4 linked regions of the Notamacropus eugenii genome follow. The protein of the gene in region 2 interacts with the protein of the main gene of each other region in a pairwise test. Links are inferred from orthologs where the notes say so. Each region holds a gene or a part of one and is shown on either strand. Other genes may lie near its edges. The genes, in order: NFIL3, AMOTL2, THRA and GCC1.

What was found.
Region 1: the proteins of AMOTL2 (region 2) and NFIL3 interact in binary tests that used the Homo sapiens proteins (3 or more experiments, as listed by UniProt). The two-hybrid records come from large-scale screens. The link is inferred for Notamacropus eugenii from reciprocal best matches to the Homo sapiens genes AMOTL2 and NFIL3.
Region 3: the proteins of AMOTL2 (region 2) and THRA interact in binary tests that used the Homo sapiens proteins (3 or more experiments, as listed by UniProt). The two-hybrid records come from large-scale screens. The link is inferred for Notamacropus eugenii from reciprocal best matches to the Homo sapiens genes AMOTL2 and THRA.
Region 4: the proteins of AMOTL2 (region 2) and GCC1 interact in a two-hybrid assay, tested with the Homo sapiens proteins (2 studies listed by BioGRID and IntAct). The two-hybrid records come from large-scale screens. The link is inferred for Notamacropus eugenii from reciprocal best matches to the Homo sapiens genes AMOTL2 and GCC1.

The regions. Positions count from the first base shown.
Region 1 is NC_092872.1:108,332,986-108,340,880, forward strand, and holds the start of NFIL3 (nuclear factor interleukin-3-regulated protein), read right to left. Parts: upstream 3,040-7,895; 5' UTR 2,403-3,039; intron 2,378-2,402; exon of another isoform or gene 2,008-2,377; intron 1-2,007.
Region 2 is NC_092876.1:334,135,085-334,142,579, reverse strand, and holds the start of AMOTL2 (angiomotin-like protein 2), read right to left. Parts: upstream 3,001-7,495; 5' UTR 2,617-3,000; intron 1-2,616. UniProt on the Homo sapiens protein: Regulates the translocation of phosphorylated SRC to peripheral cell-matrix adhesion sites. Required for proper architecture of actin filaments.
Region 3 is NC_092873.1:355,632,217-355,639,414, reverse strand, and holds the start of THRA (thyroid hormone receptor alpha), read right to left. Parts: upstream 3,019-7,198; 5' UTR 2,794-3,018; intron 2,618-2,793; exon of another isoform or gene 2,504-2,617; intron 1-2,503.
Region 4 is NC_092874.1:122,542,769-122,550,070, reverse strand, and holds the start of GCC1 (GRIP and coiled-coil domain-containing protein 1), read right to left. Parts: upstream 3,083-7,302; 5' UTR 2,750-3,082; coding exon 1,724-2,749; intron 347-1,723; coding exon 1-346. Other genes in the region: ARF5 (ADP-ribosylation factor 5), read left to right, coding at 5,163-5,406, 6,174-6,254, 6,583-6,692. UniProt on the Homo sapiens protein: Probably involved in maintaining Golgi structure.

The sequences.
Region 1 (7,895 bases), on a different chromosome or scaffold from region 2:
TGGCCTCTTCTACCACCATCCCACCACCTCAGACAATGCTGACAATCTCTCCTAACATCCCTCAAAACTTGGAACTCCTACAGTCTACAGATCCAGTAAAGGTGTGGAGGGGGAAGGCCTACGAAGGGGGTGTGGGTGTGGGGGTGTTGTTTGCCCCAGGGACCCGCTGAAGGTGTTGGGCCAGCAGAAAAATGAAACTGGGGCCTGGCCACTGGCAGTAGCAACCAAGAGGAGGAGCTGCCCATTCTCTTGATCTCTTAGTGAGAGCTCTGAGATATCCCTCAACCTAATCACTGAAGCTTAACTGAGGGTACTGAAGTCTAAATAAATTTCCTAGAAAGAGACTATAATTATTTATAGGTACATACACTTCTCAAAAAGTAATTACAAAAAATATGAAAAATTCATTTTAGTTTTTAAAAAGAATTCTAATTAACACAAAAAGTCTGTCTACACCTAACTTATACCAAATGTGAATGTGTTGGAATATGGAGATGTGTATACATACATAGAAACAGACAAATAGCAAATATAATCAGACCAAGAGCTTGGAGCTGGGGAAGTTGTGCAAGAACAATGTATTTTACACACACACACACAGACACACACACCCTCTACAACATATTATTCTGAATGAAATCAGGAAATGCAACATAAAACAAACTACTGACCTATGTCTACCTCCTACAAATCACATCTGAGGGTGGGAGTGGTAAATCTAATCTGAAGGAAATACTTGTGACTTCATGGCTGCTAATTACAAATGCCCAGAAGAGAAAATGACTCTGGAACCTTCCGGGAGGTTTTCGGCGAGCAGCAGTTTCCCTGTCTTTTCATTTTTTAAAGAATGTAATTTCACCTAAGGGAGATGCCGTCCAAAATTCAGAATCATCAAAATGTCTCAGAAGACCTGGAGTTAAACCTCAGCAAATGGCCTTGAACGTCTATTTGCCAACAGTTCTGGAGAAAACACCAGAAATAGCCCCGTGAAGCCACAATTGCTAAATTGTGATAGTTAGGGCTAAATATAGAAGAACACAATTTCATTTTAGGGTATATGACATATTCGGCAGCATGAACGAACTCACGTCTTACCCAGTTGTCTACTTTTCTATTTATAAACATCCTTCTAAAAAACAGCTACCGTGCCATTTTTCTGAAAGCTTATTGCCCTAGTTTCTTTGTAGCTAGATTATAAAAATCGCGTAATTAGCTCCCTCTTCCTCTGTCCTCTGCCAGCAAATTCTGTGGTTACATAATGCAACATTTCCAGGAACTATTAGGTGATCTGTTTTGCAGCGTCTGAAAAACCAATTACACAAAAGTGAGGGGAAAAGGGAGTTAACAATAAAAGATTTCCGTTAATGGAAGGGACTAATTTAACCGGCACAATTCTTCTTTCCAGATTTGAAAAATAACACCCCAGAGACACATGATAAGCTTCCTTATCATCTGAAACCCAACATTCAACTAGAATATGTGTATATATTTGTAGATCTTAAATGATGTAGTACTGAAAATAGAAAATCGATGCAATTTATAATAAGCTAATTTCCCGACGCTGCACCAAAATTACAAAATCATTACACACACACACACACACACACACACACACACACACACACACACACACACACACACACACACACACACACCCATTCTCACAATCCTTGCCAGCATTCACAGTGGGCGGATTATGCAATGTATGAAAGAACAAACCTCACAAATCTTCCTTCGGCCTTTTAAAACATACTTAGTGTGGAAACTCTAGGTAAGGACTAACCTCCGGCACAGAAACAATTGTTGAACAGGCATTTTTTGAATGCCGTCACCACCCCCCCCTTTTCAAACCTCATTTCTCAACCAAATGGAGTATTTTTAGCATTACTCAACCCCTCACATCTTCTCCCATTCCCCCCACCCCCTAAACTCGCTCCATCCCTAGAGAAGAGGGAGTGGGGGCGTGAGTCAGAAAGCCTTCTGCTGCATGCTCGGAAATGGACTGACCTCAGAAGGGCTGCCTTACTGCTTTTCTCTGTCAAAACACCAATTTTCCTTAAATACAGTCATATTATGCAACTGCAGGGTAGAGAAAGGGAGCAAAGTCTACGTGCTGGGGAAAGGGGGTGGCAATCAATACAGTCACCTTAAGGTGGAGATTCCGACATGGACATATCAGCAAAAGTTTGGATAATTAATAAATACACACGTCTAGAGAGGTCATCTAAACACACTATTTTCTACATACACACTCTGGAGGTGACAGCAACTTTTCGAAATTACACATGAGTGGGTGGGGTAAGGTAAGGCAGCGAGTGGAGACAGAGGGAGATTCAGAGAGACACAAAGACAGAAAATGAAAACAAAGCCTAGAAATATTAGTACACAACATGTGTAATTACCTTTTTCATTTTCATCTTGGCCCGGAGAATGTGGTGGGAGGGGCAGAACACGCAACAAAAACGAGAAGAGGTCTCCCCGGAAAGTCGCAAGTGAACCCGAGAACACAAGCCCCGACTCCTAGCCTCCGCTCTACCAGAGGGCAGAGGCTGGGCAGGGCTGAGGGAGGCTTGGGCACTGCTGTGAGTGCCGGAGTGGGGGTCTGCCGGGGGGGCCAGGGGCAGCATCAAAGGATCGGAAGAGAAGGGGATCGCCTGGGGCTCCGCTGCCCGCTCCGGGGCAGGCCCGCAGGCTGGTAGCGCGACACGGAGGGGAGAGCCAGGGGCAGCACTTCCTGGGGTCGGAGAGAGGGGCGCGGGCGGGGGGTGGGGGGTAGGGGGTGGCGGTAGAGGAGGAGTGATGGGAGGGGTCTACCAGCCTGCTACCGCGGGGAACCACCAGCGCGCCGCCGCCGCCGCTGCCGCCGCCGCCGCCAGAGATCTGTGTTAGTAGGTCAACATCGTGCTCCTCGCAACGTACCCTTGTGCCAGCCTCGGTGGTGACTGGCGTCCACCGCGCCCCAATCACAGCGCCCAGAGCCAGCCCCACCACCAATGGGTACTACTCGTCGGGGCGGAGGAACTGAGGGGGAGGCCCGCAACTTGAATTGCTTACGTCCCTCCCTCTTTTCCAACGACACCACTACCAATGCTTCCCTTCCCTCCCTTATCCCTGTTACATCTGCTCCTCCCTCCTGCCTCCCTCCCTTCCTCCCTCAGCTCAACCATTTGTGGTACTATATGTGCTAAGGGTATTGCATAACGAGCAGGGGGAGAGGAGAAAAGGAGGGGAGGAGGGAGGGGCTCTGACATTTACGTGGAGCGGGCCAGCGGGTTGGAGTTAAGGTGGACTCAGCCCTTTCGTTCTCCCTTTTCTTTTCTCACTTCTCCTCTGTTTCTTTCTTTTCATTCTTCTGACCCTGCTTTTTTTTTTTTTTTAAACTGTGAAAGACAGCCTAGCTACCTGTTGCAGGCGGATCCCCGGGGCCGGGTCGGAGAGGCAGCTTTGCTGAAATGTGGACCCCAGAAGCTGGGAGCCTGGTGGGGGAGAAGGAAAATCCGAAGCCAAGCTACATGATTCACAGTTTACACCCACCCCCAGCTCCTGGGGAGCAGAAAGTGTTGTTGGTTAAATAAGCACATACTCAGGCTCCATGACCTCATAGATAAGAAATTGATAGGGGCGGGCAGCGTGGTGAGAAAGGACATATTTGAAATGGGGGTGGATTGTCCCGTTGGTTTGCTAGAGGCCCAGCTAGCAAGGGAACAGGGATGGGGGAAGCTGGAGTAGAGGGTTTCCTAAAGGAAGACTTTTTACAAAAGGCTGGAAATGGGGATGGGGTGGGGGAGGGAAGAAGAGTGATCCAAAGGCTTGATTCCGAATAAGGCTTTGTTATGTAGATCACTGATTAAAATAAACAAACCAAAAAATTCAGATTTCTATTAAGTCGACCACTGCTACAAGTGAAAATAGAGAAGAATGTAAAAATACACCACTTCCCTCCGAAACTAAGGATACTGAAACTTAAAAATGATTGTAAAACAAATTTGAAAAACTAGTTTTGCTGATTTATATCTACCCAGCTACCGCATATGGGCAGTCCTCCACTGAATTATACATAATCTTTGGCTAGCATGAAAGTCTGCTGAAGACATACATGTTGATTCATTATTGGGTGTGTTCTCTGCTCTTATGCCAGTTGGCATTTTCTGCTGTGGGCTACAAAGCATATACTGTACTCTTGACACTGCAGTTAATGTCTTCCTTTAATGATCTTCATAGATAAGGGCAATAAAGATTCTTCTGCTAACTTGACACCTTCCCTCCCTCCCTTCCATGTATAGGAAATAACATATAAATGAAAGAACTATTTTAAGAGTTATTCACAAACTGTATTTATGCGCTGATTTTTTCAGGAAATGAAAACTCCAGCAATTACGTATCCAATAGAGTCTGACTTTCTTTAGACTATTATATATTACTCATTTTTGCTCATTATCCTGGTAGTCACTTGTAGATCATAAAATACAATAAAAGTTTTACTAATAATAAATTAAAAGACTACAATTTCTAATACATAAAGGGATATGAAGCACTACTCCCCTCTACCTCCTTAGTCAAGCAAAGGCAAAGGCAGTAGGACCTCTGATAAAAAGTGACACCAACTCACCCTGTGCTTAGTTAGGCTTTTTATGCCTCAGACAAAAGGGAAATCAAATGGTCTCCAACTTACAACTCCCTTGGAGCACCAAACAAGCCTATACAAAATAGGTGTCAGTCCTACTATATCCCATCCCTTGGCAGCAAGGACCCTACATTTTTCTATAGGATCTTCCATCACTAAAATAATCATGTCAGGTTCGTAGCACAAACAGCGATACTTCTGATGCGCTACACACAACTGTATAAAGCGGAACCATGAGCAAAATTCCTCCATCAATCAAAAGACTCACAAAATGGTATCTTTAACAACTATATACTCATTCAAATCCTTGGGTACCTTCCAAGAGTAAGTATAAATAAAAATCTTTTGGTTGCAACTAGTTGAGACTAGAGTATTCCACTTCTAACAAATATCATAATGTGCTCATGAAGGCAGTAATACCTGAGGGACCCAGATAAACATAATATTAGTTACAATTTCCTTTAAAGAATGGAAACCTCCTGTGTTCCATCTATTTTGTTATAACAATTTTGAAATAGATAACTCACATGGGCAACTCACAATGAAGGGTCAACATAATATCATTTGTTCAGTAACAAATAGAACCCAATAGAAGGCAATTTTTTTTAAGGGCAAGTGGTTGTTTCTGGCAGATTATTCCTCCAGAAGCCTAACATTTGTTTAGTATCAGCCAAATGCTACATTCAGTTTTGTCCTTATGAACTGAAACATCAAAGAACATAGGTTTCACAGGATCAAAATGAACCAGGGAGAGACTGCTGGACAGCCCCCTTTAGAGCTTCCAAAGCTATAACCTCTTCTTTTCTCCACTTTAAAGAAGTATACTTTGAAATGACTCAGTAACACAGAGACCACAACACAATAATACGAAAAGAGGGAATAAAAGTTCTTCAGAAAGGTTAAGCATTTAGGCTTCACATTTAGTCTATATGGAAGCAAATGGGACTAGCTTATTATAAGCTATCTCCAGAATCATCAGAGTTCTTCTCATTTAAAGTATTCCCCCCAAATTTAAGTAGGTTGACTGGACCCTAAATTTTGTTAGGGATTGATCTTCCACTCCTTGTCTTTCACATAATCCATCATCTATCTAATCTAGGACTTCTGCCACAAAATTGCCACTTGCTTCACCAAGCCCAATCAACATATACAAGCTCTTTTACAAGTGTCTGCTCTCCAAACTATGGAAATATGAAGGAGAATTATAAGGGGAGTTTTTATGGTGAAGTAAGTACTCCAGCTTCTTTCAACTTCGCTAAGTAAGGACAGGGAATGGACCTATGAATTTAGTGGCATAGGCAATTTCCAGATGAGGAAACTCATCTCCATTACTAAAGAGAAAGTGTATTTTGCTCCCAACCCAACCCAGTATTTTAAAATATTAACTAGACAGGATGGTTCAGGCAACAAGGGCTTCTAGTTACTCCTATCCAAAATAACCACTATAACCATACCTATATATTAATAATGACTCTGAATACCACTTCTAGGTCTGTATCCCAAAGAGATCATTCAAATGGGAAAAGGACCCACATGTAAGAATATTTATAGCAGCTCTTTTTGTGGTGGCAAAGAATTGGAAATTGAGAGGATGCCCATCAGTTGGGGAATGGCTGAACAAGTTGTGGTATATGAATGTAATGGAATACTATTGTGTTATAAGAAATGATGAGCAGGTCAACTTCAGAAAAATCTGGGAAGACTTACATGAATTGATGCTGAGTGAAATGAGCAGAACCAGGAGAACATTGTATACAACGTATGATGACTAACTTTGAAAGACTTATCTGTTCTTAGCAATGCAAGGATCTAAGACAACCCTGGAAGAGAAAGAACTATGGAATCTGAATGCAGATTGAAGCATAGTATTTGCTTTCTCTCTTCTCTCTCTCTCTCTCTCTTTTCTTCTTTCTCATGGTTTCTCCCATTGGTTCTAATTGTTCTGTACAACATGACTAATGTAAAAATAGATTTAATATGAATATACATGTTGAGCCTATATCAATTTACATGCCATCTTGGGGGGAGAGGAGAGATAGGAAGAAAATTTGGAACTCAAAATCTCATGGAAGTGAATGTTGAAAACTAAAAATAAATAAATTAAATTTTAAAAATGACTGAAAAACTCATGATGTGTATGCCTATAATCCATCTGAAACTTAAATAGGCAAGATCCACCTTTACATTGGTGGTCTTCCCACCAACTCTTAACCAGGTTTTAGTTAAGAACACTAGGTTTAGTGAGAATAGGTACTTGAGATAAGCAATTCCACTTGGGCATATGACCTCTGGTTGCATGTAGTCCTACTGTTAGAACAATTAGAGACTCAGGGGGAAGTTTAATACTCATTTTAATGGAGTTTATTCCAATAGTCCCTCAAATCTGAATACAAAGATTGAAGTGGCTCCGAACAAGCATATAGGATGGGGTAATGACCAGATTGTATGCACTACCAATAATTTAGGACAGAGACCATCAGGGATTTTATAAATTTTATTGAGGTACAAAGGTCCTTGCAGGAGTTCTAGGATATCTTCATGGTCCCAGATATTTAAAAATAGTATTTGATTTTCAATTTAAAAACCCCATAGGCTGACCATCAATTGTCTTCTTACCTACCCTATGTTTCAAAAGTCACACCCAATACTCCTTACAGGAAAGAGCATTATTACCTTCTCCCAACCTAATATCATAGAGAACAAAGCAGTTTGCCTCCCTTCCATCCTCCTCAGAATACCAATTTTCAGAGGCTGACCAGTACTCTATTCAGACTTCACCAATTGATCTGCCCAGGACTAGATGGTAGTCTGGATGGGGAAGGAATATGCTCAAATCTCATGATATGCATGTAGGACTCCACCTAAAAAACAGGCTATCAGTATACCCCAATCAGATGGGTCATAAAGAGTGGGCAGTCATGGTGGGAGACAATAATTCAAGTCCACTAAATATGTCTCTTGTAAAAATTTCATCTTTTTCCTTGCTATTTTTCAACAGGTAATCTGCTATTAAGGTGTTCATCTTTCTGGGATCAGAAATATAGAACTCTCTATTTCATCCACCTACAAATGGAATTGTTTCAACTGATTTTGTAAGATATCATCTGCAAGCTCTCCCAGTCTATTGAATTCTGACAAATACTCTGAATTATCCCCTTTAGACCAGATTTTCATTAACGGTTGTTCTAATGATTCATTGACTTACTTAAATTTATACTATAATCCCCTAAATTTTTTTGGTTGGCAAAAGTTCACCTACCCTTTGACATCC
Region 2 (7,495 bases):
GGTCTGTCTAGGTATTAGTTACCCCAAAAAAAGAACTGGTACAAGCTAAGCTGATATATTTGAACCAATGTCATAGGATGACCTTGGGGATCATTCTGAGACAGTGAATATTAGAAATAAGGAAGGAGGAAATGACTATGGAGTGCCAGATAATGAAAGAGGAAAGGACTGGATATGAATTATGGTATTGTGAACAGAGGCTTTATTTAACAAGCCACTGGGAACAAGAAAGTCCTGCCAACAAGCACTAGTTAAATCACATGGTCCCTGTAAGCAGCAAACTATCCCCCTTTTACCTGGCCCAGCTTACAGTATCTTAATATATCAGACAAATACAAGATGACAAAGAGGTAATTTCCCTAGATATTTTTTATACGTTATTTGGACAGAGTCTAACTGGCTCTCCTCCTCAGTCTGTTGATAGTAATTCATAATAGTTGTAGTCATAATTAACAGTAATAGCACATTCCCTACAGAGGCAGTACTATGGGTAAGGAAATGCCATGGTTTCAAAAAGGCACAGAACTGAGTCTAGCAGGGGCTCAATGATCGATTAAGGTGTTCTAGGGACGAAGAGTTTTCCAATATCTGGACTCTAGGAAGCTAGCGACTCCTAAGGCAGCTGCATCATCACAATATTCCCTAACTCTATAACCATCAAAACCCAAATCCATTTGTACATTAAACTCATTTTTAAAAGAGAACTCTATGATAATGACTCTGAATAGTAGCCATTATTTCCCAAGTCATAATGAAGTGACCATCTGAGAGAGGTGGGTGAATTTGTGGATGTTTCTGACTCTCTAAGCCAATGAGATATCTAGAAATCACCAGTTTAGTGTGATAGTGATAATAATATAATAATATGAGTAGCTAGCATTTATAGAGAGCCTGAAGGCTTGCAAAGCACTTTCTCATCTTCACAGAAATCCTGGGAGGTTAGGTGTTATTATTATCCCCATTTACAGATGAGGATACTGAGGTAGACAGATGTTGAGTGCCTAGCTCAGGGTCACACTGCTAGTAAATTAGTAAATGTATGAATGAGGCAGGATTTGAGTTCAGGTTTTCCTGACTCCAACCTCTATCCACTGTGTTACCTAGCTGCTCCAGAGTGAGAAACTACCATCCTCCCTCCCTTCCCTCTCATTTCATGCTAAACCCCACAACCCAACTATGACACTGGAAGGATCTTTGGCTAAGTTAGAAATTGCATAAGTAGTATAACTTTCCACCCAGTCTTTTCATCATACCAGCCTACCACTCCTAGGGCAGGATTGAAGAGATTCTGAAATCCACAATTTACGAGAACCAACAAAAATCCTTAGGAGTCAAACCACTTTTATGTTTCACAATTACCAGAGCATTTTCTACAGTAATCACAGTCTAATAAATAGCGTGCTCACTAATGAAGACTGTCAGTGGAGAATAATTAGGACAATCCAGAATCTACCTTAGACACACCATCACTTGAGCTCTCAAAAGGTGTACCATGCAAGTTGTCCTATCTTGTGAACAAGCTAATAATGTTTTTGTAATGTTGGACCTGATAAAAAAAACCCATTAATCTCAAATATCAAATAACTAAACCATAAGGTCATTATAAACTACAAGTCCTTCTTTTAGGTTAAGGAGGGCCCTGGAGCTATAAACCATTACAAAAATAATAATCTCCCCTTAAAGTACTTATTTTCTGGCTTTTTGTAACACTCAGTGTTCCACTAAATAAGGCGGGGTGGGGGTGGGAGAGGGAGAAAAAACGGCCGGAAAATTCTCTCCAAAATACTGAGATTCCTACGTGCCTAAATTAAACCACACTTTCTACCAACTTCTGCAACAGAGTTCCAAAACTGTAACTGGATCCCCCCCATACAAATAACTTCTGAGTCAAAAACGCTCCGAACTCCTTAGTTTTAGAACCAATTTGAACACCAATTCACCTCAAAAGTGTACGACCGATTGCCATCTGAAAAGTATTTATATTTCCTTGGCTGCTCTGGTCCCTCTTTGTTTTCCAAATATTTCTGCCCTGACATCATCAGGGTTTGGACTGCAATTAACATTCTTTCTAAGTGAGGGCCAGGCTTATGGCTCCGGAAAGCATTTTTCCAAACAAGACAAAGAGGATTTCTTTAACTAGTTGGGGGGCAAAAGCACCTGTAACTCAAGACTAACCAAATAATCCTTGGATTGCTCCCCCCCTTTCTTTAATCATTTCCAGGCCTTTCCCTCCCCTCCCTAGCGCCTCCCGTTTCCAAATACCAGAAGACTTGGAAATCCATAGGTTTCAAGGGCATCGCAAGAGCCAGGGTCAAGAGCTAAGGTATCCTTCCTCTGCCCCCCAAGTATCCCTCAGGCTGGAATGATCAAGCTTGCGGGAAGATTTCCCCAATCTAAATCGCAGAAAAGCCGCCAAGAGTCGTGCAAAGGGGAAACCCAGTGTAGTCGAAGCACCGGGATCGCGGACGAATGAGGAGCTCTCTCGGCTCCCAATCATCCGCTCCCGCCTCCCCTAGGTTCTCTCTGCATGGCCCCGAGAGCTCGCTCCCTGTCTCCCGGCTGTGCGCTACGAGACACTGGCAAATAGAACGCGTCAATTTCCCTGGTGAAACTTACCAACCCATAGCCTGAAAGCCTCAGTCCTAGAGTCTCAGACCCAGCCAACAGAAGTTGCCGGGGAGCTAGCCGTACAGAGCTCTTTCGGAGGGAGAAAATGCAGAATGCGTGCGTGTCTTGGCTTATCTGCGGCCCCTTCCTACCCCTACTGCCGAAATGCCAAAACAAAATTTTAATAATAATAGTTAAAAAAAAGAATTGGAAAAATCAGAGCAGCGCAAGGAAAAGTCCGCACGCAGCTCTGAGCTCCCGGGCACGGAGATCCTGCCTCTGTGACTGCTGGAAGCGAGACTGCGCTCCTCCAGCTGTACCGCGAGCCACAGAGGTTGGACTGTGCAAGAGGCGGCAAGCTATGCCAGGAATGTGAGAGTTTCAGGTTCCCCCTTGGGATCAAAGCTAACCACAAATAACCTCTTGCGCTCGCCCCATCCAGCGGCAGCAGTGAGAGGCTGCGCACTGCAGGGGCTACTAACTGGGCTCCCCCGCCCCCTTCACCACATGGCTCCATAACCCAAGGAGCGATTCTTCCCCCAATTTTTCTTCTTCTTTTCTTCTGAGTTCTTCTTTCTACTTGGCTCAGGCTTCTAACTGGCATTAACTCATTCATTCCCAAATGAATATTTGTGCCAGTGGAGTCTCCAATGGATATTTTTGTTGGACTCTAACATCTAGGTAGTATTTAAAATTTTAATTTCCAATGAGTGCAGACCGTCTAAATAAGGAATTCTTAACTTGGGGTCCGTGAACTTTTTTTTTCAATTTTGATAACTATATTTCAACATAATAGGTTTCTTTTGTGTCCCGTATAATCCTATGTCTTTTATGCATTTAAAACTTTTATTCTGACAAAGGGTCGTTAGGGCTGCACTAGACTGCCATAGGGGTCCATGACAAAATAAAGAAGGTTAAGAACTTCAACTCTAAGGAAAGTTATCTGTTTTTTTTTAAAGTTTGGGTTCAAGCTGCAGATCTTTTCTATGGGTAAAGTCTGCAAAAACTCTACACATGCTATTTGATTCTCAAACCCCTTTCAGATAGATGTTAATATTATTCTCACTTTACAGATGAAGAAACTGAGGCAAAGAGTTAAGTGACTTGCCCAAGGTCACATAGCTATTAATAAATTGTCTAAGGCAGAAGTTAAACTTAATCTTGGTGACTCCAAATCCAGAGTTCTATCTCTTACGCCCCAGCAAAAGAATTTAATCCATTTCCAAATGCTCTAGGCCCTCACAGAATAAAATGAAATTGGGGAATATTCAACAAAACAAATAAAGATATGATTGAACATAGTAAATGTTAACACCAGGTTTCTTATATACAGTTTAGTGACCCCAGTTTCTGAGTTTGACCCAATCATGTTTTGGTTATTGCTACAGGGGCAGGTACAAACAGGAAATTGGGCAGCTATTTGGATAATTTTCTTTAGGTTGTTTTTGTTTTTGTTTTTTTACCTTAAAGAGAGGCAGCAAAACAAACCCAAATCTAAAGCCTTTTCTCTCAAATAGACCAATGATATTCATTTGTCACCTAATTGCTGCATTTCCCTACCTGCAGTTTACAGAGCTTCTGCCAGTGCAGGACTTCCCATGAGATATTTAATGGCCAAGAAGCCATTTACTAAGCCCAGTGTGTGTGTGTGTGTGTGTGTGTGTGTGTGTGTGTGTGTGTGTGTGTGTGTGTGTGTGTGTGTGTGTCTGTGTGTGTGTCTGTGTGTGTGTGTCTGTGTGTGTGTGTCTGTGTGTGTCTGTGTGTCTGTGTGTCTGTGTCTGTGTCTGTATGTCTGTGTGTGTGTCTGTGTCTGTGTGTCTGTGTCTGTGTGTGTGTGTCTGTGTGTGTGTGTATTTTTCTTGGAAAATAAATGCTACAGTACCACTCCTATGTCCATAACCTAAAGAGATCATTAAAAAGGAAAAAGGACCCACATACACAAAACATTTTGAGCAGCCCTTTTTGTGGCAGAGTTGGAAACAGAAGGAATGTCCATCAATTAGGAAATGGCTGAACAAGTTGTAGTACATGAAAGTAAAGGAATACTATTGAGCTATAAGAAATGATGAGCAGGTGAATTTCAGAAACACTTGGAAAGATTTATATGAACGTATGCTGAGTGAAATGAGCAGAACCAGGAGAGCATTGTATATAGTAAAAACAACATTGTGCTAGCTTTGATAGACTTAGGTCTTTTCAGCAATACAACGATCTAAGACAATTCTGAAAGATTCATGATAGAAAATGCTATCCACATCCAAGGAAAGAAGTGATGGAGTCTGAATGCAGGTAGAAACATTCTATTTTCCTTTTATTTTTTTGTAGTTTTTCCCTTTTGTTCTGTTTTTTCTAATACAACATGGCTAATAAGGAAACATGTTTTACATGATTGCACATATATAACATATCAAATTGCTTACTGTCTTAAGGAGGAAAGAGAGAAAATTTGGAACTCAAAATTTTATTAAAAATAAGAATGTTAAAAACATCTTTACATGTAATTGGAAAAAATAAAATACTATTTAAAAGAAAAAAAAGAAAGTGGATGCTACAATTCCAGGAGGGAGGATGGTCTGGTGGAATTGGAATCTGGCCGTGTGGGGATGAGTTCAGGGTCTGATGCTTTGGAGCAGCCAGGGCCATGCAAGATGAGTCCCTGCTTCTGTGAGCCTCTATCTTTTCATCTCCAAAAAAAAGAAAGAGGGGGAAGAACCAAATAATCTCTAAGATCATTTTATCTCTCACATTCTGTGAAAAGTAAACAGGGTAAAGTTATTTTTTTTTTAAAGGAAAGAATAATCTTTGAATTTTGAGCCCCTGAGTTGATTTCCTGCCTTTGGTGCAGGCCCACATACAGGTGCTCATTACGTGGGTGTCCATAGGTGTCACCTTATATTCCTGGGCCTCAGTTTTCTCATTTATATAATAAGGCACCCCTTACTCCCAGACTAGAAGTCAAGGTCCCATCCAACTCTAGATCTGTGTTTTTACATAAAACTGAATTTTGTTCAAAATGAAGCTTATCTAGAAGAAGGCACATTAGTCAAACTCCAAGGTCTCAACAAGGGGAGCAGGGCACAAAAGAAAGGACACTTTAATTTTTTTTTTTTTTTGGTGCTATTTCATACTACTTGTCTCAGGGGTGGGGAAGCTACAGCCTCAAGGACACATGTGGCCCTCTAGATCCTCAAGTGCAGCCCTTTGACCGAATCCAAACTTCACAGAACAAATTCCTTTAATAAAATAATTTGTTCTGTAGAACTTGGACTCAGTCAAAAGGCTATACCCAAGGACCTAGAAGGCCACATGTAACCTCGAGGCTATAGATTCCCCACCCTTGTCTTAGATGCACCTATTTATAATGGTAAAAAACTCATTCCCATACTCTGTAGGCCTTTAATTTGTGAAGAGTCAAATGTGATATTTATAGGAAAGCCCCTGGTGGAGAATAATACAAAAAGGAACCCCCAATGTCCAAACCTTGCCCTAGAGCATACAGATACCTAGTCAGCCCAGCTTTGGGGGTGGGGAGATTGGGGGTGGGGAGGGAGGAATGAGATTTGAGAGAACCTGGCAGAAATTTTCTTCCTCTCTTGTGGTTACCACTTGAACATATTGCTTCCTGAGTTATCCTTACTGGATAAAAAAAATGTTAATGACCAGAAAAAATTTAAAAATCAACAGACTCAAGAGAAAAGGGTCCTTGGATTCCTTGTCCCTACAGCCCTTAAGTGTAGGTGTGTTTCTCAGCCTCTTCTTCCTCAGCTAAACCGGGCATTTGGTCTTCCCTCCTGTGACATTCTGCTAAATAGTAAAACCACGTACTTATTTTCACCTGTGCCTGTGTACGCCTGTACACGTTCAGCATTTCTCTTCTCTGCTGTGCTGTAGACTGACATGGTTACCTAGCAAGCAAAAATAAATAAATAAATCGCAGGCTGATGGCAGCAAATCATCTTCTAGCTTGAGGATGATTAGTGGGCCTGGCAGGGAGAGAATCCAGAGACCACCATTTTGAAATCTTTAGCTCTCTTTTTCAGGGTCTCCAGGAGTCTTGGTTATCAGGAGAAACAAAACTGGTGGTCTTTGTGCTGTCTTCTGCAGCTCCCAAATTGGACAGCCAGATTCCAGTATAAGAAACATAAAAGGAGGCATTTACCATCCAGGCTGTACTCTCCTAGCTTTGTGGTACCCTAAAACAAAACTAAAGACTGGGAGGTACTGGAGAAGTAATCCCTGGAGAAACGTAATGATAAAATAGGTCAGTAGACTGAAAGGTTGATCAGAAAAAAAGATTATGCTAAAGTCAACTGGTTGTTGATTCACAAGTTAATATTAACTGAAGATAGAGGGAGAGACAGAAATAGAGAGAGAGAGAAAGAGAGAGAGAGATGAGAGAACTAGAGAGATAGAAGGTAGATGTAGGTAGGTAGGTAGGTAGGTAGATAGATAGATAGATAGATGGATGGATGGATGGATGGATGGATGGATGGATGGATGCTGTGTGTGTGGTTTATAGCTGACTATGTGGTCTGCCCTGTGCCCATGTGCTGCAAGGCAAGTTAACTATGTGTATGTTTTTGGCAACTGTCTAGACACTAGCTTTGCTTGGAAATGGTGAGTTGCAGCCCATGCATCTGTGTGAGCTAGAGTGATTCATTTTTTTGAGGAAAAGGAAGACATGGCCTATAGTATTGTCATTCAGAAGTGTTTGAGGAAACACCCAAAAAAAGTCCATAAAATATGAAAGACTGTCATCTAAAGTGTCCATCTAGACTTAAGTTAAGCAGATATGTTGCAGATAAATTAGAACGGGCACTGGAAAAACTGCAAAGCCTTTTTTAAAAAAACAAAAATTTCTAAGGGGATAAACTAGTGGAATGATTAC
Region 3 (7,198 bases), on a different chromosome or scaffold from region 2:
GGGGTATAGGAGACACCAATACTCTTACCTACTAAGCTTTAGAATTGAATAGGGAGCCCTGGAAAGCCAAAAAGACAGGAATCCTCATTGACATTAGGAAACCCCAATAGTTCCTAGAGCTCCCCTTATTTAGGTCCTGTATCTAGGCTTAGCTTAGCCAGGTAGAGAGGCCTGGTTGAACAGAAGCACCCTTCCCCACCCCCATTCCCCAAACCCTGGTGGCCACAGCTGTGCTTTTCTCTTGGTAAGGAAATCCAGGATGTCCTGAGAAGCCAGCAGAGCCCCTTCCACCCCCCACCCCCACCCCAACCTCCTGCTGACCCCTGGGGAGGCAGCAGGGAAAAGCTCACTATTAGCAACCAGAGAAATATGAAGGATGTCCTAGCTAGTCCCTAGCTCTAGGACAGAAGATTATAATGCTGAGACATGCAAAGACTGGGAGACACTCAAAAGAAAGTGACAGGAGAAAAGAAATATAGAGCTTAAAAGAGAAAGAGACCAGACAGAGAGATAAACAGATAAAAGGACAAAAACACACATAAAAACACAGCAATTTGAACAGAAGGACAGAAGGTAACATCTAAACGGATAGTAAAAAAACATCTAGTTGAGGTTATGGGGAGGCTTTGGGGTAAGCAGGAAAGATTCAGGCAAATGAGTTCCCCAAGACACTTTTAGGGTGGGGAAGTGGGAGGCAGAGAGTTAAGTCTGATTCCCCTAAAGACAACCTTGCTGCCCCCAGTTGTCAAGGCAGCTTAGGCAGGGTTATTGTCTGGGGCTATTGTCTCAGTCCTCAGAAACCCCTTACCTCCCCTCTCTCACGAAAATTTCTCTTCCTAATCTCCTTTAAAATTGTCCATGCCCTTAGAGGAGGGAGACACAGGAAAAAGCATGAGACAGAGAAAGAATGTGTGCATTTGTGTCTGTGAATGCCTGCATGTGTGACACAGTAAATCTGCTACTCTTATCATTCAATCAACAAATACTTACAGAGCAGCTATTATACAGGAAACATTGGGATAAATGCTGTTGGGTATAAATGGGTACAAAATAATACTATCCTTGCCCTAAAGGGATTTACAATCTAAATACAGAGTTGTTCTTAACCTTTTTCAGTGTCATGGAACCCTTTGTCAACCTGGTGATGCTTATCCACCCTTCTCAGAATGTTGTTTTTAAATGTATAAGATTATAAAAAGAAACTATCTATATTGAAATAAGCTTCTAAAAAAAACAAAACAAAAAAAATATGGCCCATAGGTTAAGAATCCTTGGAGTAAGAGAGTATGTATATTACTATATATGTGCATTTGTCTGACATAGCTTTTATTCTTGGGGGCAATCTTCTCTCCTCAGTTACAATGTAAACTCCTTGAGGAGAGGGCCTGTCTTTTGCCTCTTTTTGTATCCTTTTCGATTAGCAGAGTGCCTGGCACCTGGGAAGCAATTAATAAATATTTATAGATTGATTAAACTCCTTGAAGGCAAGAATGTATCTATTCTTGGTATCTCTCTCAATGAAAAGCAAGGCAGTGGTGCCTGGACACTAGGTCCTCCATAAATACAGTATCTGTTTGTCGGTTGTGACTGCACCTGGGACTATGTATAGCGATGTCTGTGTATAGGAGTCTGTATGTGGGTATGTGCCCGTGTCTGTCTGCCTGTCCTTGGGTCCCCCTGTGGGTGTGTCCATCTCAGCGTGTGCACTTGCTCACGAGTGTTCGGTCTTCCTGGCCCAGTGTGGGTGTGTCTATCACCCTCCTGTCCTTGACGCCCCGCGTCCCCGTGTCAGCGCCTATCCCGGTGTGTCTGGCTTTCACCGCCTCCCCCTACCCTTCACCTCCCGGACAAGCCCCCCTTCCTCCTCCCGTCAGCCAGCTTCTGCCAGGTCAGGGCTCCCGGAGTACTACCAACCGCGCCTCGCTCCTCCTCCCTCACCCTCCCTTCAAACTCTGACCCCGCCACCCCTTAGGCCTTTTCCCCATCCAGAAGAGGGGGAAACCCCATCTGCCAGGGGCTCGAGGGACACGTTGCAAGCCCCTCAGCTCCCTCCCTGTTGGTCTCGCACTTCCCCAAGTGGCCTGGAGCATGCAACTCTCCGGGCGCTTCCCGGGGACCCCGGAGTTCTCCTACCAACTCCTCTTTTTTCTTCCCCCAGCCGCGTTTTTGCATTTGGGAGTGTTGCAACTGGAGGGCCATGCAGCCCCATGTGAAGGGGCTGGGGCGGTCCTCGAGCCCCGGGGAGGCTGCAACCCCCCCCCCCCCCCACTCCCGCCGGAGGAAGCTTTGCAAAAGCAGCTCGGCCCCGGCAGTCGGGAGGGCGGAGGGTGGGGGGAGAAACAGGCCGCCCGAACCGTAAACAAACCGCGGCGGCGGCGGCGGCTGGCGGGGGAACAGGGGCCGCCTGGCAGCCGGGGCCGCGGCTCCGACAATGCGTAGCAGACGGGACCGGGAGAGGCCGGGGACCCGCGGGGCGGCGGAGGCGGGGTGTGGGGGGCGAGGCCCGGACGCCATCTGCCCCTGCAGCACCACCGCCCCCCTCCTGGCCACCAACCCGCTGCAACCGTCCCGTCCCCCTCCCCCGCCAGCCGAGTCCTCCATTTACTCCGGGGAGTTGGTAAGTTGCAAGCACCCCAGCACTGACAGTGTCACCCAGGGGCTGGCTGTGCAGGCAGCGGGTCCCCAGGGACGCCCCCAGCCGGGACTAGGACCCCAGCCAGCGAGCGTCCGGTGGCTTTGCATAATCAATCGCAATGTATTTGCATATTAATACCCCCTCCCCCTCCCCCTTACCTCGGCGTGGCGGGCTGGGCTGTGCGTGGGGAGGGGTGGCGGGTGGCTCAGCGCCGGGGCCCGGGGGTGGCCATGGGGGACCGGTGGGGCCGGGGCCGCCCGCCTCCTGTCCCCGGGTGTGAGTGCGAGTGAGAGAGGGGGAGGGGGGCAAGTGTGGCGGCCCCGCGGCTCCTCCGGCAGAGGCGGCGGCCGTGCTAGCTCCTCCCTCCCCCGCCCCGCTCCGCTCGGGCTCGGGCTCGGGCTCGGGCTCGGGCTCCAGGCTCCGCGCCGCCCGGGCCTGGCTCACTGCTGCTCCCTGCAGGCCGAGCCTAGCAGCCCGGCGGCCTCCCCTCCCAGCCCGGGCCATCCCGGCCAGGTCGGCTGTGCCGAGCCCGGCCCGGCCCCGCCCCTATCTCCTCTCACCTTCTTCATCTTACTCGGACCGAGTGCGCTATGCCCTCAGTCCATTCACGCCTGGCGGGTCCCCCCTCGCCCCATCCTATCCCACGCCGGCTCACTCACAAGTGCCCATCCCTGCCGGATCGCTCCCTCGGGAATCGCTCGCTTCTCGCTAATTTGCTCTCTGACGCTCGCTCCCACCCGACGCTTCTCCCGGTCCCACTCTGAGCCCTCCTTCTTTCGCTAGGCTCCCTCCTGGAGGCCACTTCTTGTCCCCAGCCATGTTTCTGAAGACCCTCCGCAGCCCAGGAGGGAGGATGCCGTCGGTTAGTCAGTCCACAAGCATTGGCTCAGGGAGTACTATGAAGCCAGGCACTGTGCTCGGCTCTGGTGATGTAGAGAAAAGTAAAAACACGGCCCCTTTGGTCAAAAGGAAGAGACCTGGAAAGGACTATGTACCTGCAGGATACATGCAGAGGTCTCTCCCGTCCTGCTCTTATATCTCATCGTGATGCTGGGAGAATTTTGATTTTTTTTTTTCAACGGGGTGGAGAACCGAACTGGAATCCAGAACCTAGAACCCAGAATCCTTTGTGTATATGCAAATTGTAGGAGTCATCCAAAAAGAGACCTCTCCAATGTGTCAGGTCCCCCACCCCCACCCCACCCCACACACCTTCCTATGCATACACATACAGCTGTATTCATGGACATTAAACCAACCCAGAGACGCCAAAGCCCTTTTCATCTTGGGATCTTCCAGGTTGGGCAAAGCTCTAATTACCCCAGCCCCCCACTCTGGCCCTGCCGGTTCCCCTGCTGTCATTAGCCCAGTTTTACCAGCGGAGGCCATTGCCTTCCCACGGGCTCCCCAGGGTGGGGCCCCTCTTCCCCTGCTCCCTTCTCATGAGGAGGTGGGGATGAAGTTTGGTCGATCACATTTGGAAAATTTGTCTGACTAACAACAGCCTGAGTTGATTAGATTGTCCAAACCTCTCCTTTTTAGAGGTAATTCTCTCATGGTAGGTCGTCCCTGGGGGCTTGTCTTCCAAGAAGGTTTGCCCTTCAGATCTCTCATGGGATCAAGAGGAGGAAGAGGAGACACTCTTTGGAATGCAGTGATCATAACATCACAGTTTCAGAGCTGGAAATGGTCTCTGAGATCATCTAGACCAACCCTTTGTAGAAACTACTCTGGACTTACATCTTCATTTTACTGATGAGGAAAGTGAGGTCAAGAGAGTTCAAGTGACTTGCCCAAGATCACACAGAGAGTCAGGATCTTAAACTGAGGTCATCTGATGACAAATCTATAGCTTTTTCTTATTCTTCTTATTCAACCCGCTGCCTCTCATAGTGAGGATGGGAGAGATTTCACCATCTTAGCTTAATAGTGAATATGGATTTTCCTATCCCTCCATCTTCCCTTGTACTGTGAGGTGTGTTTGTCCTCCATTGCCGCAGAAGACCATGCCATCAGAGAAATAATGACCTGACTTGCACTTGACTTTGTTTTGAGTGAGGGAGGGCTGTGCAGGTCACTAGCCTTACTTCTCCTCCAGAACTATCTGAATCCAGTGACCAGATATTCATCAGGATCACTAGAGATGACCCAGGATGAGGCAATTGGGGTTAAGTGACTTGCTCAAGGTCACACAGCTAATGAGTGTCAAGTGTGTGAGGTGAGATTAGAACTCAGCTCCTCCTGACTCCTGCACTGGTGCTTTATCCACTGCACCACCTAGCTGCCCCTGTACTCTGAGGTGGTGGAAAGGAAGAGAAGGGAGAAGGGAATAGGAGACTATAGTATATTAAGGATAGGAGAGACAGGAAAAGGAACCTGAGAAAGGGTGGTCTAAGGAACAGCCTGTTCTCTGGCTATTGTTGACAAAAGCTGTATCCAAACACCTCCTCTTTCCCTCTTTCTGTTATTATGGTGTACCCCCACAATTTCTCCCTCTCCTATTCCCCTATCAATAGGGATTCTAGATAGTTATCTCCCTAAGAAGACCTCTGCCTAAGAGCCAACACCTCATACAACTCCATGCCCCTGTAATCATTTCATATCCTAGTGACAGGTGGGGGATACTGGCCATCAACTAGCCAGTTGTGGAAATAAGCTCTCTGTCTCCCCCACCCCCAGCACTCCCCTAGCCTAAAGAGAGTTGGTACCAGCAGATGAAATGTGAAGGAAACTCTCCAAGCTGTCTTGGCATTACCTCACTGCTTGACAGACCTCTGAGCACTGGGGAGGAGGAAAAGGAGAGCAGGGGAAACTGAGGTACAGATGGTTGATGAAATCAGGAATATAGGTATTTTTCTTATCAGGAATATTTATTTTTCAGAAAGGAGATTGGTTATTGGGATCCTAGGAAAAGGAAAGAAGAGAAGTGTATGGTGGAGGTAGGGATGGGCTGTTGGGGGCAAGGGGAGGGAGGAAATAGATTTGGTAGACTTGGAGGAATAAGGGACTGGGAAAGGCAGACAGTTGGGAAATTATCCAGCAATTACCCTGATAAGTACTAAGGAGGCCACTTAAGTCCCCCACAATAATTACTCATGTTTTCTCCCCAATCTCTGATTTCCCTTTACCCCACTTGGGCACTCAAAAGACAGGAAAGGGAATTTGGGGGAGGACTATGGGAAAAGACTTAATAAGAAAGCTCAACACAGGACAGGCGAAAGAATGACCTTATATATAAAACAAGAGGGAGGTTGAAGAGGTTTGACCTCTGCCCTCCACCAAACCAGATTTTTCTGGGTTATCTCCAAGTGAGACAAACATGGATCCCAAATTCTCTCTCGGATTCCAACCTTCGGTATGAACTCTCTCCTCTTCTCATAAATGTCTGCCAAATTTCATTTACACCAAACTCATTACAATCCCCCTGCACACTTATTAACTATTAATTATTCCCACCTTTAACCTCTAGATTAAAGGTCATACCTTAAGTCTAGAAGAAGGGTGATGATGATGACACACTTTGTCTAGGAGAGGGTTGGTCCTTTGCAATCAGAATATGGGGCAAGGAGATGGAAAAAGGGATAATATGGCAGAGGGAACAATTATCAAGACCTGGGTACATGTGGCTCCTTTCTGTGTCTAGGTGCCAAGGTCATGTGGCTGATTTTTCTCTTCCTGATAAAGGGAACATGTTGGGTGAGTGAGGATAGGAGATTATCTCAGGAATTCTGGTGACTGAGACAAGGTGAAGCTGCTCTAAGGTCTGGGTTCAATTTTTCCTTTTCAGCACCTTGGATAGTTTCTATCTTTCACTTCTTTTTTCTCCTGGCTGGTGGGAGGAATTGGCCATACCCATTTCTTTTGGGGAGTTATAGAGATGGGACAGGCACAAATGAAGAGAAACAAAGAAAGTGAAAATCCCCTCCCAGGGGTGAATGAAGGGAATTCTTGGCTTCCCTTAGAAATTGATCCTTGTAAAGAAGCACAGAGCTATGGACATCCTCCTCTCTGAATATAGAGAAAGGAAGATATAGGCTAGGAGTTAGGGGTGGGAATGGAAGGCAGTCACTTCTGAGGTGAGCTAGACCTAGTGTTAGCTATTTGTGTGTGTGTCTTTGTGTGTGTGTGGGGGGCACTTTGCTGAACTTCTCTTTCCCACATCTGTTGCCAGTTGACTCCCCTCAGTTGGCACCTGGGCATATTTTCAGGAAGCAGTGCTATAATAGTGGCATCTAGCCTAGAGCCTTGGTCTCCCTTTGAAAGAAAATAGGTGGATATCTCTTAGGTGCCCTACTCCAAGAAGTTCTTTGACATTCCTGTGCCATGTAACAAACAGAATTTCTATCACTGTCTTCCTGACACCCTTTCCTAGTTGGGCGGTGAAACTTCCTCAACCAATATTCCCTGACTCCTCATTGACCTTTCCCAGACTCCTTTCCAAATTCTCTGCAGCTGCACCAGATGTTGCCATGTCATTTTTTCTTCATGGGCTTTTCCCTGGTATGGGTAGAAATTGGCCCTTTCTTCAATACTCAGGGCCTTTCTTCCCTTGGTTCTGTCTAA
Region 4 (7,302 bases), on a different chromosome or scaffold from region 2:
ACAATTTTTCCATATTCAGAGACACCTGGCTCTTCCTGGCTGCAATCTGCAACAGTCTCCTCAGTTTCTCCATCTTATCCTTTAGAACATTGACATCCAGGCTGGTCTCCTCATTGTGACTGTCCAGGGGAGAACGGCTGGAGGCTGCAAGAGCAAGTGTCTTATTCTCCATATCCAGCTGCAGAAGGCGATCCTTGAGCTTCTGAATTGCCAGCTGATCCTTTTGTTTAGCCTTCTCATAGGTGCCCAGAAGTTCAGACACTTCTGAGACTTGGTTCTCTAGGGCAGCCACCCTCTGTTCCTCCATCTGAGAATACTGACGGAGCTGCTCCTCTGCCAAAGCAGTCTAAAAACCAAGGAAACAAAAAAGATGAATTAAGAGAGAGTGCAGAGCTTGTCACTGAATCTAGGAAAGGCAGAGAAGAGAGAGGGCACTTAAATAGGATGTGCTGGTAGGAATGGGAAGAACTTTAGAGAACTTTTTCATTGATTCAAGCACCAACAAAACTTAAACTATTATCCACTCCCATTCTGCAACCCTGCCCTCACCCCTTGAAGACTCAGAATTTATCTCACCAAATAATATTAAGGTCATTTTCTGTGACTTGACAAAAATCACATGAGCATTAATACTATTACTAGATCAAGTCAAAACAAATGCATTACACTTATTCCCTGAGAAGCATTGTCTTCAGCTCAAGAAGCTAAAAATGAATCCTTCTCCATGAATCCCTGATCCATCCAGTTAGAAATTTTCTCTCCCGTTTTAAATTTTCCTGTGACACTTTATCTAGATTTCTCCTTTGCTCTTCTCAAACACTATCCTGTATTATACTTATCTGTGTACATGTATTGTTTCTTCCTGACACCTGCTACCCAGTAGAGTCTAAGTTCCTTGAGGCCTGGAATGTTTTTTTTTCCCCTGTGTAATCTCATTGCCTGGCACAGTGCCTTAGCACATGACAGATACATGTTTATTGAGTGTTCATGAACAGTTCTATTCTGCTTTCAGTTTCTACATTTTTGTCACACGTCTAGCATATTATGTCTATCACCCTTAATCTGCTGTTTATCCTCAGGAACTGCACGCTCCTGTATGCTACCCCTGCCTAGCAAGTCCAGAATTGAAAAGCGGTATTCTCATAAAATCCAAAACAGTATTCTGGGATAGCACATTCATCTCCAAAACAAATCCTGATTGAGAACAACTGAAGGAAACTGCCTCCTTCTGAAAAAAATATCAACCACACAAATAGAATACAGTACTTCACTGTTTTCCTTAACACAGCTGTTAAGAAGCCAATGCCTAGAATCTGGAAGCACTCCAACTTAATTCCAGACAGCACCCACAAATACCACATCCCCTTAGACGTATGTTCTGTAATTTTTGTAAACATCAATTAGACCAAGATTTTCCAGTAAATTTGTCCATGAGAAATTTTGGGTAAGGACCATGAAAATAAAGGAATTGAAAGCATGAAGAGACCTCGTAGGTAAATTTGGTCCAAATCCCTCATTTTGTAGAAGAGAATACCAAGTTCTATAAGATAAAGCAACTTGTCTATGGGTACATAGCTGTAAGTGGCATAGTAAGGATTTGAACTCTTATTACAAATTTAGCACTTCTTTCAACTACAGTATAGGGTTTGAAAAGAAGAAAAAGTCTAATATTTTTAGTCACGCATTAAGCACCTATAGATTTGAATCAGATAAGGTGAATTACCTTCCTCATTTCCTGCTGCAACTGGGACTGGAAATGACTCTTAAGGTGGGCAGCTTCTTCCTGAAGCTCTTCCAGCCGTGGGTCTGGATGAGTCTTCTCCTCTCGAAGAGCCTGCAGTTCCTGCTTCAGTTCCTCCACTTCGTGGGTCAACTGTTTGATCTGTAACTCGAACCCTTCCACCTGGTCAGCTGAATAGGCCTGTCCAGCCAGGGCTTCCCGGGTCTCCTCTAGCTGCAGTTCAATATCCTGCCGTAAGGTTCTCTCTCCTTGTAGCAGTTTCTGCAGCTCCCTCAGCATCAAAGCATGATCACTCTGCTCCTGGGCTCTGTCATGCTGCTGTGTGATCAACCTGGCTTTAGTCTCTGCCATCTGCTCCTGCAGCCCCCTGAGCTCCCCCTCCAGTCGGCTCCTTTCTTCCTCAGCCTTCCTACCGGCATCCTCCAAATCTTGTTTCATTTTCTTTTTATCAGCCTGGTACGAGGCTTCCATGCGGGACTTCTCTTGTGTCACTGTGGCCAAAGAGCTGGTCAGGGTGGTCAACTGGGTCTTCAGTTGGTGCAAACGTTTGTCGATCTCCCCGCCAACACTGGCTGGCACATCCCCACTACTGGAACTAACGCCACTCTCCGACCCACTGGCTTCCTCAGACTTCGGAGGTGCTGGACCAGCGGGCAGTCTCTCATCTTCCACCCCGAGATCACCCTTGGTGCTGGTCAGACTGGCCGTTGTGTCCAGGCTGGTGGCAGTACCAGTGCTGTCCTCACTGTGAGTGGAGCACCGGTCATCCACAGCCTCGGCCAGGGGAAGGCCTGGGGCCTGGCAGGCATCGTCAGCCTCGTGGGACGCCGAGAGCACCTTGAGGCTGGCCTCCAGGGCCTCCTTCTCCTTCAGCAGGCTCTTATAAGCCCGGACCACGTCCTTGAGGCGGGCCTGGTACTGCAGCAGCTGTTTCTTCTGCGTCTCTATGGTCTCCAGCAGGTCCTTCTTGCTAGGGCCCCCGCCGAAGTTCATGCCAAACTTCTCCATGGCAGGGGCAGCTCCCTGACGTCACCGCTCACGGAGTCTGGGGTGGGGGGGACAGTGCGGGGAGGGGTCCGACCTTACGCGCGCTCCCGCCGAGGGGGTGCAGCTGCCAAGGCCGCCATGTCAGGCGCTTTCCTGGCTCCGGCCCCAGAGGGCTAGCGGGGCAAATGACGAAGCCAGCAGACGCCGCGGCGCCCCTCGCTCCCTTCGCCCCCGAAGCGGGACAGACCGGTTCCGGCTCCGATCCTAACTCGGTAACCACTTCAAGTCAGTTGTCAACAACGCTTCCGGCTCCGCCGGAAGTGCAGGTGGGCATTCGGGATAGGCGTGCGCTCGGGGAGGAGAGGTGGGACGTAGAGCGAAGGGGTGGGGCATAAGGAGAGGGGCGGGGCCTTTGAGCGCCAAGGGGAGGGGCCTCGAGCGCCAGTCGAGCTGCTGCGGTTGCTCTTAGGCGAGGCTGGGCGCTGCTTCCTGGGGTCTGAGCTGGTCAGGGTATCTGATGCAGTGGAGGGGAAAATGCATAGAGAGACCTGTATGCACGACTGCGGCGCAGGGAATGGAGGCGACCCCCTGCCAGATCTAGGACCACCAGTTCTTCACCTCTTTTTGACTCCTGGACCCCTTAAAGCACCGTATAAATGATATTTGTTAAAATGTCTGTAGTGCTTGAAGGAGAACCCCGCCCCCCATGGGAAGCTGGGGACGGGAGTATTGAGGGGCTGTTCTCCATACCTCTTGTTACAGGACCCTGGGCAAGTCACTTAACCTGTCTGCCTGTGTTCTCATCTGTAAAATGGGAATGAAAGCACCTACCTTACAGGGCTGTTGTGAGGATCAAATAAGCAATTTGCTTTAAGTACTATACGAATACATATTATTCTATTCACCAGTCTAGAAGATCCAGAAAGCTGCAGCCATTATGGTCAGGTGCCTCCTGAGAGATGTTTGCTCTAAATTTGCAAATTGGCCATCTGCAGATCTCTGCATTCAATTCAGCAAGTGTTTATTGATACAGATGTCTAGCATTTCGTGGTGTAGTGGAAGTGAATCCTGAATTTGTGAGTAAGGCCTGAGTTTAAATCTCTCCCCTAATATCTTTCTACCTGTGCAACCTTGGACAAATCACTATTTCTCTTGTTCATTAAAGTTTCCTAATTTGTCAAAAGAGAGTAGTGGATAATCACTTATGACCTTTCCAACTCAAAAGACCTATTGTTGAGGCAGCTAGGCAGCACAGTGTTTGGAGCACAGTTCCTGGAGTCAGGAAGACCTGAGTTCAAATTCAGCCTCAAACATTTACTAGCTGAATGACCCTGGGCCAGTCACTTAATTCCATTGCCTCCAAAAAAAAGCCCTGTTTTAGAGGTGTATTTATATAACTACAGAGAAGAAAAGCAGCAAATCTGGGGACTGCATCTGAACTTGAATATGATTTCTTCCCCTAGATTTATGATCTAAAACTTATTTTACTTTTGCTGTATCCTACCAGTCAATTTAATTCAAGCATTAAGTTACTATGTGACAAGACCTGGGCTAGAGGTTGTCAGAGAGATACAAAGTACAAGAGGAAATTTCTGCTCTAAAGAGAGAAATTCTTACTTTACCCTGCCTCTTATTTACTTGAGGTACAGGGAATTGTAAGTAAACCACATTGGGGTTCCTTAGAATTAATGCCCTTGAAAAAACCCAGCTCCTTGAAAGCAGGAACTGTCTTGCTTGTATTCATAACCCCCGCACTCTGCACAGTGCCTGGAACATTTTAAAGCACTTAATACTTATTCTGTTTATTATCATTGGTGTTTATTGTAGGTCAGTTGTGATACCTGAAACTCAGGGCAGAAGTCCATAGATGCGTTCCTTACTTTATAGTAGAAGCAAGAGGTTAAGGTGATTTAAAGCACATAATATTAATGTTTTATTACCATTGGTGTTTATTGTAAGTCAGTTGTGATACCTGGAAATATGGGCAGGTTCCGTAGATTCCCTCCTTACCTTGCAGAGGCTCTGGGAAAGAATGGAAAGAGGTTAAAGAGTAAAAAACACCGCATCTTGGGGTGCCCTGGCAGGCATGGGGAAGAGAAGCTGCATCTGTTACAAATGATCCTGATGGTGGGAGGGATGATGGGCTCTGAGGCAATATTCTGGAAAGAGACCCTAATTTCTTTCTTCAACTTGCCACAAACACACAAGGTAGACTATTCCAGAATGCTGGGGGGGAGGTACGCGTTCTTCCTGAGCCTTCTTTCTGTTTCAGTTTTTCCTGGCGTAAAGAAGTGATTTAGAGTCAGAAGAGCAGGGTTCGAACCCCATCTCTCCTACATCCAGGTGACTGCGAGCAAATTACTTCCCTCCCAGCCTTAGCTTCCTCCTCTGCAAAAAGAGAAGGTTGGGCTCTAAGCTCTTTAAGGTGTGCGGGATGGGGGCGTGGCCTGGGTGGGGGCGGGGCTCTTCGGTGACGTCACGCGGGTCCTGTAAGCGCGGAGGCGGCTCCGGTTCCTGCTGCTGCTGCTGCTCTCCATCCCCCCAGCAACCTGCCGGCTCCGGCTCCGGCTCCCGGCTCCCCGCTCCCCGCTCCTCCCTCCCTGGCCCAGCCATGGGCCTCACGGTGTCCGCGCTCTTCTCGCGGATCTTCGGGAAGAAGCAGATGCGGATCCTCATGGGTGAGGTCCCGGGCAGCGTCACGGCCCCGCATCCCTCCCTGCCCACGGAGTAACGCCCTCCGCCTCCCCCGCAGCCTCGCCGCCCCCGCATCCCTCTGCCGCCCCCGCAGCCTCCCCACCCGGCCCTGCGCGCCCAGCCTCGGCCTCCCCTTCCGAGCCGGGGGTGAGGGTGGGGGTGGTCGAGAGAGGAGATGAGGGAAACTGAGGCACGGGGTGGCGGGTGAGGGAGGAGAAGGGATAAAAGACCCCCGGCCCTCGGGAGCGGGGGGCGGGGTTGGTAAGACAGGTACGGCCTGCAGCCCAGCTGGCCCAGCCTGCAGCCTCCTCCGCTTTGCAGCAGCAGCCGGAGCCTGCGGGCGCCCAGGCCGGGAACCTGCCGGCCTGGGCGGGGTTAACCCACAGGCCGGCCGCCCGCCCCCACGCGAGGCCCTTGGACACGACTGGAATGCCTCTCTGGAGAGGCAGCCCCCGTCCCTGTGGGGCCCCCACCTCCTTCCTTGAGTCCTGCCCTCCCTTGAATCCGCAGGCCCACTTTGGGTGGGGTTTTTTGTTTGGCCCTGGGCGTGCGGGTTTTTCTATGGAGGGGAAGAGAAATGGCTCGTGATGCCCAGGTTTCCCTCGGACTCCCCCCTAACGTAGCTCCCCGGAGCGGGAGATGCACGTTGAGACTTTCCGATCTCATTTTTCCCGTTCCCGAGCCCTCTCCCTCCTCGTCTCAGTCGGAGCTTCTCGGGTACCGTATCCATTACCCTGCCTCTCTATTGCAGTCGGCTTGGATGCCGCAGGCAAGACCACGATCCTCTACAAACTGAAGCTGGGCGAGATTGTCACTACCATCCCCACCATAGGTGAGCTCCTGGGACGGAGGGGAGGGCTGGTAGTCTGTGAGCGTCCCCTGTATTTCCTCTCTGGGGCCTGACCCTGACACTAGATACAGTTGCTCCAAGAAAGTAGGTCATGGTGTCTTTGGCTGATGGTGCCAGGATGTGGAAGCAGCAGCCCTGGGCCCAGTTCGGTTAATTCTTTTAAGTCTGCATGATGTTCTTCTGGGGGACTCCCAGAAGTTCTCCTGACCAAGCTGATCTCCCGTCGCTTTTGTAGAGTTGAATGTACCTGCCCACATTACAGTGCCCCTCCTCCCCCCCAGGCTTCCCCCCCTTTTCCCTTTCCTCACAGGCTTCAACGTGGAGACCGTGGAATATAAGAACATTTGTTTCACCGTCTGGGATGTGGGAGGCCAGGACAAGATTCGGCCTCTCTGGAGACACTACTTCCAAAACACTCAGGTGGGCCAGAGAGCACAAATAGCTAAATAGACACATACAGTTTCCCATGGTTCCCCGTTACCTACAAAATAAAACTCATTCCTATATCTGGTATCTGTTAAGCACCTACTACGTACCAGACTCTGTATTAAATGCTAGAGATAAAAATAACACTTTGCCCTCAAGGAACTTTTATTCTACTTTCTAGCAATTTCTTCAATTATTCCCTTTTTGAGTCTAGCCACCTTGACCTAGTCTGTGTTTCTTAAACAAGCTTTCCTCGCTTTATGCTTCTATTCATGGCTCCATCTACCTAGAATATTCCTCTTTTCACCCTTCTCCCCACTCCAGTCTCCTCCCTCCACCTGTTGAAATTCTGTTCATCCTTCAATGAAGGTCCCACCCAAATACCACTTCCATTTCTGTGAAGCTTTCTCTGCTTTCTCCAGTCAGAAGCACTTTTTCCTTTCATGTTTCTGTAGTTTTTGCTTATATCCTATCTCTAAGTGGTCCTCATGAAATTCTTCCCCACGCAATATTGGTATACCTATCCTTGTACATTAATAAGTGTTTTGAGAGTAGATAATATATATGTATATATATTTTCCCTCTTAGTGCCTTGCATATAGTA